Linked DNA regions of Caenorhabditis elegans. The protein of the gene in region 1 interacts with the protein of each later gene in a pairwise test. Each region holds a gene or a part of one and is shown in the gene's direction. Other genes may lie near its edges.

Region 1 (4,591 bases):
TGGGAATTTCCAATGAAGTTTTTTTTTTGAAAAAAAAATGATGGAAAATTTGATGATCTGTGAAAATCATTTTGAGAGAAGAAAATTTGTAGAAATGTTTTCAAAAAATCGGTTTTTTTCCAGAATTCTTGCAAAAAAAAATTTAGAAAAAACTTTGAGAAAAAATCTAAAAATTATTTTGAGGAAATGACAGGGGATTAGCATGCCGCTCCATCATTTTCTTCTCCAAAATAATCCTAAAATTAGTCCAAACCGCAAAAAACCAGATTTTTTGTCATTCTAAAAAATTGCGGGAGGCGTGGTGTCCTTTTCCATAAGCCTATACCCCCCAAACATCAAATTTCCGGTCGGAAGAGTCAGCCGACATTTCCCCAAATATATATGTGAATGAAAAAAAAAGTAGGGAGAATTGAATAATTCATGAGGCTGATTGAGAAACAATGGGGTGGGCACAGATAGATTTTCTGTTAATATTGAGAATCCAAACACAGGCAAAAAGCATAATGCGTTCGGGGGGAATCGAACCCCCGTCGAATGCTTGGAAGGCATCCATGCTGACCATTACACCACGAACGCGGTGATTCACGTTGGTTTCGGAGGCAAAGAGAAAATTGGGTAACATGGCAACTATATGATGAGAACATGTTGTTTGCCAAATCGCATGGATTAGGGGAGAAGCTTGAAAGCCGGTGATAAAAAGAGATATTGATATCACTTTTTTTCAACACAGGGAAAAATTATCAAAACATACGTTGGGCGTCTCTTTCTTCTAAAAATACTATAAATTACAAGTTAATCAAACTTTTAAGTCTAAAAAAAATGAAAACTTGAAAAACACATCAAAAATCAGTGTGTCTGATTGGACAAATTTGAGCCCCCATAGTCTTCCTGAATGCTCCCGCGGTGAGCCAACTCTGTCTGCGTCTCTCCGATCACCGTACTGTTTCATTGAAAGGGCACACGGGGGATATTGGTGGTGTGCTCATGAAAAAGAGCAAGGAAGAGACAGAGGGATATCCTGTGTGTGTGTGTGTATAGATATGATAACTGACTGGAGGTGGGAGATGAGTTTGAAGCACAAGTGTTGCGAGAGACAATCCCTGGATCGGTAGATCAAACCACGATTGTTCGGGTTCAAATTAGCCCCGCGCGAGTTAAAATTTAATTATTGAATTTAAAAATATTTGAAAATGCTTTTCAAATGAACTGTTTACTCAAAATCATGGTCTTGACACGATCGAAAGTTTTCAGCTACCGAATTATCTCTGCGTCTGTTGAACCTTCTTTCATAAACCCAATTTAGACCACCCGCACTCGCCGCGTTCGGGGTGTAATGGTCAGCATGGATGCCTTCCAAGCATTCGACGGGGGTTCGATTCCCCCCGAACGCAGATTTATTTTTTTTTCGTCTTTTTTAATTCAAAAAACCCATCAAAGTCCCTCGAAGACTGCATCGAACCCCCCAGAATCCTATCATCATCATAAATTCTGTGTCATCTCCCTTCTTCCATCCAATTTCTTCATGTTATCATGCGAAAAGTGGTTGTGACGAATGGCTAATGATCATCTGACACGCAATGGCTCCCCGCCACCCCGACTCGTTTCAAACTTACACCCAAAGTCTTCATATTTGGAATTTTTGAAAAATATATATTATATACGTTACTTTTTTGCGGAGAGTAGAATATGGTGAGTATTTTAAGGAAATAGATTTTTGTTTACTAAATTAAAATCACGTGGTGCCAGGCTGTCCCACTACGGTTTGATCTACAAAAAATGCGGGAATTTTTTTCTAAAAATATGTGACGTCAACACGTTCTTAACTATGCGAAATCAGTTGAAAACTCTGCGTCTCTTCTCCCGCATTTTTGTAGATCTGTGTAGATCAAACCGAAATGAGACACTCTAACTCCACGTGTAAAATTAATTTTTTTTAAATTTCAGTTCGGCTGGATTCACGAAAGCTTCAGGCAACTTGTCACAAGGAAATATGGAAAAGATATTTGGGAGAAGATCGTGTAGGTTTTCAAAATTTACTCTTAAAAGTCCGAAATACCTGCTTTCCTACCTGCCTGCCTTCAAGGCGGCCTACGCCTACCTCATGCCTGTCTACCGCCAAAGTGTCAACTGAACTTTTAATATATTAATCTAAACAAGAAAATGTTACGATGAGAATTGCGTCAAAGACCAAACTTTGGAGTCTGCATAAAGTAGGCGTGAGGTAGGTACGTAGGCACATATGAAAGCAGTTGTGAAGGATGCCTATTCGTCTACCATAGGAGTTTTGGAAATAACAAAGTTAGAAAAAATTTTTAAAATTATAGCATATTTGAAAGTAATTCTAGATGCTGAAAAAATGGCGAGGTTTCTAAAAACCTTTATAACTTTTTAGGTAACAACTTTATCGAAAAAATGTCAACTAACAAAACATAGCCCGTAAAATTTTGAACATTTTTTTAGTTAAAATTTTTTTAATATCTGCAAAACCAACAAAGTTACATGTGCGAAAAGAACAGCAAGGAGAGACGCAGAGAAGTCAGAGCGCCTCGTTTCTCTGCGCCCTCCCCGCATCACACACTCTCTCTCCTCTCCCTCACTCTCTTACTTCAAAACATCCATTATCCAGGCACATGTCAAAATTCGAGTTGGGAACTGAAAGTGAAATTGCTCATTATTATAATGACGATGAAACTCTGCGTCTTGTCAATTCAATGGCAAATGTGATTGGAATTCCAATTGAGGAAATTTGGGAGGCTTATGGAGGTTTTTTGATTCAATTTACAATGGAAACCGGATGGGATGAACTGCTCAGAGCAATGGCTCCGGATTTGGAGGTGAGAAGTGAACTCGAATTTTTTCAGCGCTTTTTTCACCATTTTTGAAACTCGTTTTAAAAAATTTTTGAGATTCAAGCTACCACCAAAGGGTCTTAAGTTGGTAATTTTCCTGGGTCTCGCAGGGAAAATGTGCAAATTTTTTATCACACATTATTTCTGAACACTTCTTGAAGACCCGTCTCATAACGTTTTGCTACGTGGCCTAGAAAAATAAAAAATTCGGTCATTGATTTGTCTTTGGTTTTTCAGATCTTTCTGGTTTTTCAGATCAATGCGTATCCATGTCTTGAGGGTGGCCGAGTTTTTTTTTATTTCACGGCAACGTAAGAAAAAACTCCCATGGCAGAGGAAAAACTCGGGCAGAAGTTTTTGGAACTTTTCCAAACTTCTGTAGAGAGCCTAATTTCCTATTTTTCTCGGCCACAGAGTTCTCCCTCAAAAACTTATTTATTACATGAATACATCAAAAATTTAAAGTATTTCCTTATCGCCCATAGATAAGTTATTCATTTTATCAAAATCGCCTGATCTTCGTAAATGTGATCTCTTTTTCACTAGTCTAGAAAAAGAAATGTGACTCAGTTTTCCAATCCCCAATTCAAACCTGTATATCTCTTCCAATTTTTTTACTACTAAAAATTTGTCAACTAACAAAATACTTTATGAATTCAGGGCTTCTTGGATTCCCTTGACTCACTTCACTATTTCATTGATCACGTCGTGTACAAGACAAAACTCCGTGGTCCATCATTTCGATGTGATGTTCAGGCAGATGGAACTCTTCTTCTTCATTATTACTCGAAGCGCAGTGGTTTATATCCTATTGTTAAAGGTACAGATGCATTTTTAATTGTACAGTGGTATATTTTGCGGGGGCGTTGAAATGTAGAGGAGACGCAGAGAAACGAGAGTACTCTCGTCGTCTGCGATCTCTCTCTCCTCCTCTCTAAAAACGGCTATAACTCTTTCAGTTTAGTTGATATCAAAATTATGTCAACTAACAAAATGCTCATCGTTTTATGCTCGACATTTTATCAGTTGACAACTTTTTGATAACTCAGACCACAGTATAGATAAACCCCTTCAACTTCCAGGCGTTGTAAGAGAAGTGGCTCGTCGTATCTATGACACAGAAGTTGTCATGAAAGTTCAAGAACGAAAACAGGAACATTTGGATGCATTTGTGACGGAACACGTGGTCTTTGTAATTACCCAAATTGAAAATGCTAACAGTACTCAGCCAAAATCGATTTCTTCAAAAGCTGACTCACAAATTGATTTATCAACGGTAAGGTTTGACATCTCATATCTCGGTTGCCGGTGGTCTGGGTCAAAAATTATTAACTAACAAAATGTGTGGCATTTATTTTACTATAATTTTGCTGTTTAACACTTTTAATATCTTAAACGGTAGCCGAGATACGAGCTGCTAAACCGAGCAAGTTCTAATTTTCTAGGGAATCTACGAGATCTCATCGTCCGACTTTTCCTTGGCATTCCCTTATCACATTTGTTTCGATCCTGACCTTTTCGTCGAGCATTTTGGAAACTTTATCAAGGTACCAATAACTAGGCTTCTAAAATTTTCAAAATTGTTCAGAAAACGTTTCCAAATGCGATGCGCCAAGAGACACGAGTCACTGATCTTCTAGAGTTGGTGCATCCGGAAGTTCCGTTCTCTTATGAATCTATCAAATATTATAAGAATTCACTTTTTGTGTTCAGATTGAAGGTAGGTGTCGATTTAAGCAGCT
Region 2 (3,962 bases), on another chromosome or scaffold:
TGAAGATCGTATGTTGAATCCCGTGCAGATTTCATTTTGTAATTATTTCCCAACAAGAAATAACTAAAAGATTGTATATTGAATTCCAATAAGATTGACTGTGTATGACCAAAGTTTTAAACACGAATCAAGATCTCAGAGAATAATTAACAGTATTTTTATAGAATTTTTAACTTGCTACAAAAATTTGATTTCGATGCAATTGTTGCCCTTTGTATTTTGAAAGTATACTATTTTTGAAGAGAGAGGTAGAAAAATCTAAAGATAACATTGAAAAGTATTTTGTTAAGCAAACAACTTTCAATGTTTGAATGCTTGTTTTGTCACTTGGAGCTTGTATTTTGTAAATGTTTTCTGTAGTTTTGATTGAAAGCTTTTCCCATCTTCACAGACGATGTATTGCACAGTCTTATTTTCGGTAAAACTCAAAAACCCGAGGCAGAAACTTCAGGAGTTAAAAAATTAGACTTAAATATGTATAGAAGAAACATAGAACCTTTCGATTTGCTCGAACTCGAACTTCAAATTCTTTTTTTTTAACCTAGAAAATGTTAGAAAATGTTCGATGTAAACTGAATATGCACTGCACTTGTAACTGCATTTGTTGTGTGTGTGAATCACTTGGAAGTTCATGTAAATAACAGTATATAACTTCAAGGGTTATAAAAGGCACACCTTACATCAAAAATAATTTTCTTTTTTCCTGCTGTTGTGATTTTGCAATAAAATGCCCACATTTTCCAAACAAAAATGTTCTCAAAGTCTTAAACCCTGTTCATCAGCCACCTCGTGAATATACTTAACAATTCAAGTGACTCCATGACTCCGCCTACATTCGTTCCCTCATCTAGCTCACCGTTTTAACATTCAGACTTTTCTCATTTCCCTCCGATCGTCTTAAAATCCTTCTTCCTTTTTCTCTCCATTTCCGTCATTTTCGTCTTCTTTTTCCTTTTTTTTTCACAATTTTCCTTCTTCTTCTTCTTCTTCTTCTTCTTCAACTCAATAGAGCCTTTCCCTGTGTCTCTTTTTCTCCTTTCTGCCATCTTCACTTCTTTCGCATATTTCTCTATTTCTCTCATCCCAACGACGCGCTCTTTTCGGTTAATTTGGAGCTTTCTCCGTCCACCGCAGTCGGGGTTGAGCTGGGAGCAACGAGAAGGCCGTGAAAACATTGTGCCAGAGACTGCGCTTCCTCTAAAATTTCGTAAAAACTTTTTCACGCCTTTTCTATCACATCATCTCACCTCGTCTTGCCTCTTGAAATTGAATATGTTTTGGTCGACTTTTTAAATTTATTTATTTGCTTTCTTTCATACACACCAAAATTGTTTGGAAATTTTAATTACATGCAAAAATTTGCACATATTTTTTTGTTCTGTTTGTTTCAATTCCTACTTTCAATTTGTAGGTTATCTAAACGATACAAAATTTTCAGAATTACAAATAAGTTCAAATAATATTTTTTTAAAAATACATTTTCTGTTTAAACACTACAATCGACTATTTATGTAGATTTTCTGAAGAAAATTTTCTATTGCAATTTCTGCGTTATAAGTGCCCGACTTACTAGTCATAGCTTTATCTAGGGAATTATTGAAATAATATGATATTTCTCTAAATTATCACCTAATCCCATCCTGCTCAAACCACAGAACCGTCGAATTACGAAAAGAAATATATAAGCAGTAATATATAATTGTATGAATACGAGTTACTTCTCTTATTCTCTTCCCTTTTTCATAAAATGTAAGTGCCACTTATAACACGACTTCCTTTATGAATTCAATGATCTCCACGTGTTCTTTTTTTCATAATGACCACTCTTCGGGAACACTCATTTTTTATGCTCTTTTTCCGGCAATCGTCACTTTTCGTCAATATTGACTTTTCCTTGTTCCTAAGATGACCGGTTCCTCTTTCTTGTGCCTCGGTCTGTCGTCATTTCCTCAAAACATCACTTTCTTCAGAGAGTAGAGCTCCAGTCATGGCCACTACCGCTACTCGTCATCAAGATTCTAAATTGAGCGAAAAGGCAGAGAGCATTCTGGCTGGCTTCAAGCTCAACTGGATGAACTTGCGTGATGCAGAAACTGGAAAAGTTCTCTGGCAGAGCACAGAAGACATGGCTGACCCAAAAAGGGAACACAAAGGTAATAAGAATTTCAAAAAAAGTCTCGGAATAAACCAATCATCACAAACACTATGCCTGGGGCGGTAAGTAATATCGTCACTGACAACACGAGGGAACGAACGCGAGAGCGTCTCCCCCCAATGCGCGCGCACATCCACTGCGCCATTCTGCCACAGCTAGCAAGCAACACTGAGCGTGTAGTTAAGCCTTCACATGTCTTTTACCGCTGGTCTCTAATGCAATGCGTTTTTCCTACAAAAATAGAATTGCTTGAAGCCAACAAATAAAAACTAATGGATTGCAGCACACGTGCCAAAGAATCTTCTAAAATGTCGTACGGTGTCTCGTGAGATCAACTTCACTTCATCAGTCAAAATCGAAAAATTTCGACTCGAGCAACGCGTTTATTTGAAGGGAACCATCATTGAAGGTAAGATAGAATCACTCGAATATTCATTATGTTATTGCACGCAATGGATGAATAATATTGGCTTCTGGTGATGAAAACTAATTATGTATTCCGACTTCAGAGTGGTATTTCGATTTTGGATTTGTCATTCCTGATTCAACAAACACGTGGCAAAATATGATTGAGGCAGCTCCAGAATCACAAATGTTCCCACCATCTGTACTCAGGTAAGTAAAACAAGTGCAAAAGTACTAGATTTCTAAGCTTCAAAGCTTCACTTCAAGATACTAGAAACAGAAACATGCAAACCTTAATAGTTATTAGGTAAACATGACCGAGTATCGTAATCAAACATTTTTTATATCAGTCAGCGTTTTGGTAAATTGGCAAAAATTCAAAAATTGGGTTTTTGAGTAATTTCAAACATTGCTGTAGGATTTTACCAATACAGTGTTTTTTATAAAAATTAAAACAGACTTTCAATATTTGTACTGGTGAAAACTGAGTAATTACCGATAGTTTTTTTTTTGAGTTTTGAAACGTTTTAGTATTCTTTATGGTATGTAATTTTCGTACCACAGGAGATGCTGCACACCATCTTATATATAACTACTTAATCCTACTATAAAAATAACATTAAATTGTGTTCGAGGCCTTGACATTTCGAACGATTGAAAATACAATCTCAATTTTTCAGCGGAAACGTCGTCGTCGAGACTTTATTCTATGATGGAGATCTTCTTGTAAGCACGTCTCGAGTCCGTCTTTATTACGACTAATACATATACATTCATATCCATTTTTCCCTTCTAATCCTTCCCTGTTTCTCCATGGATCTCTCTTTTTTAATTCCTAAAACAATACATACCTAATTTTAATATTCAATTTCAGAATGAAAATCTTCAACGGATTTATTTATTCATCTATGTACATATGAATATATTTTACAAATTGAATAGCTCAGGAAAATTGTCCCAAAAATACATTTAGATTGCAGTGTTCACAAATGAAGCATTGACACGTGATAGCTTCTGGCGACTCATGTCGTTCGACTGAAAAATAGGAAGAACTGAAAATAATTGAAAAATGAAAGGACATGCATCAATCTTACCACAATTGTGTTTGTCCCGTTACGACGGAAACGGAGAAGTTCGTGGCACCGGCGACGGAATTCGAGACGGAAAAAGTAAAAGATGGGAAGGTTGAAACAAGATTGGAAACCATAGAGAAGATAGGCAACACCTGGAAACATTAACTATTTGAAAAAAATAATTTAAAGTTAATTCTTAATTAATTCTTAAGTTAATTAAGAATTAACTAGCTTTTCTTTCTAGTTTATATGTTATTATCTCATTATTCAAAGTGATATTGAAATGTTATTTCAGACTTCAATTTTAGTGTTTGACAGTTCATTTTGGT

The links. Proteins that work in one complex are often made in the same cells at the same time.
Region 2: the proteins of gcy-35 (region 1) and pdl-1 interact in a two-hybrid assay, tested with the Caenorhabditis elegans proteins (one study listed by BioGRID).

The regions. Positions count from the first base shown.
Region 1 is NC_003279.8:13,323,676-13,328,266, forward strand, and holds the start of gcy-35 (Soluble guanylate cyclase gcy-35), read left to right. Parts: upstream 1-1,554; 5' UTR 1,555-1,686; coding exon 1,687-1,689; intron 1,690-1,944; coding exon 1,945-2,018; intron 2,019-2,626; coding exon 2,627-2,834; intron 2,835-3,509; coding exon 3,510-3,669; intron 3,670-3,816; exon of another isoform or gene 3,817-3,892; intron 3,893-3,931; coding exon 3,932-4,125; intron 4,126-4,294; coding exon 4,295-4,396; intron 4,397-4,437; coding exon 4,438-4,569; intron 4,570-4,591. UniProt on the Caenorhabditis elegans protein: Plays a central role in social feeding behavior and oxygen sensation by synthesizing 3',5'-cyclic guanosine monophosphate (cGMP) from GTP.
Region 2 is NC_003280.10:7,181,838-7,185,799, forward strand, and holds pdl-1 (Phosphodiesterase delta-like protein), read left to right. Parts: upstream 1-1,963; 5' UTR 1,964-1,987; coding exon 1,988-2,153; intron 2,154-2,172; exon of another isoform or gene 2,173-2,241; intron 2,242-2,438; coding exon 2,439-2,564; intron 2,565-2,581; exon of another isoform or gene 2,582-2,655; intron 2,656-2,664; coding exon 2,665-2,770; intron 2,771-3,240; coding exon 3,241-3,322; 3' UTR 3,323-3,457; downstream 3,458-3,962. Other genes in the region: C27H5.6 (G_PROTEIN_RECEP_F1_2 domain-containing protein), read right to left, coding at 3,530-3,595, 3,655-3,785.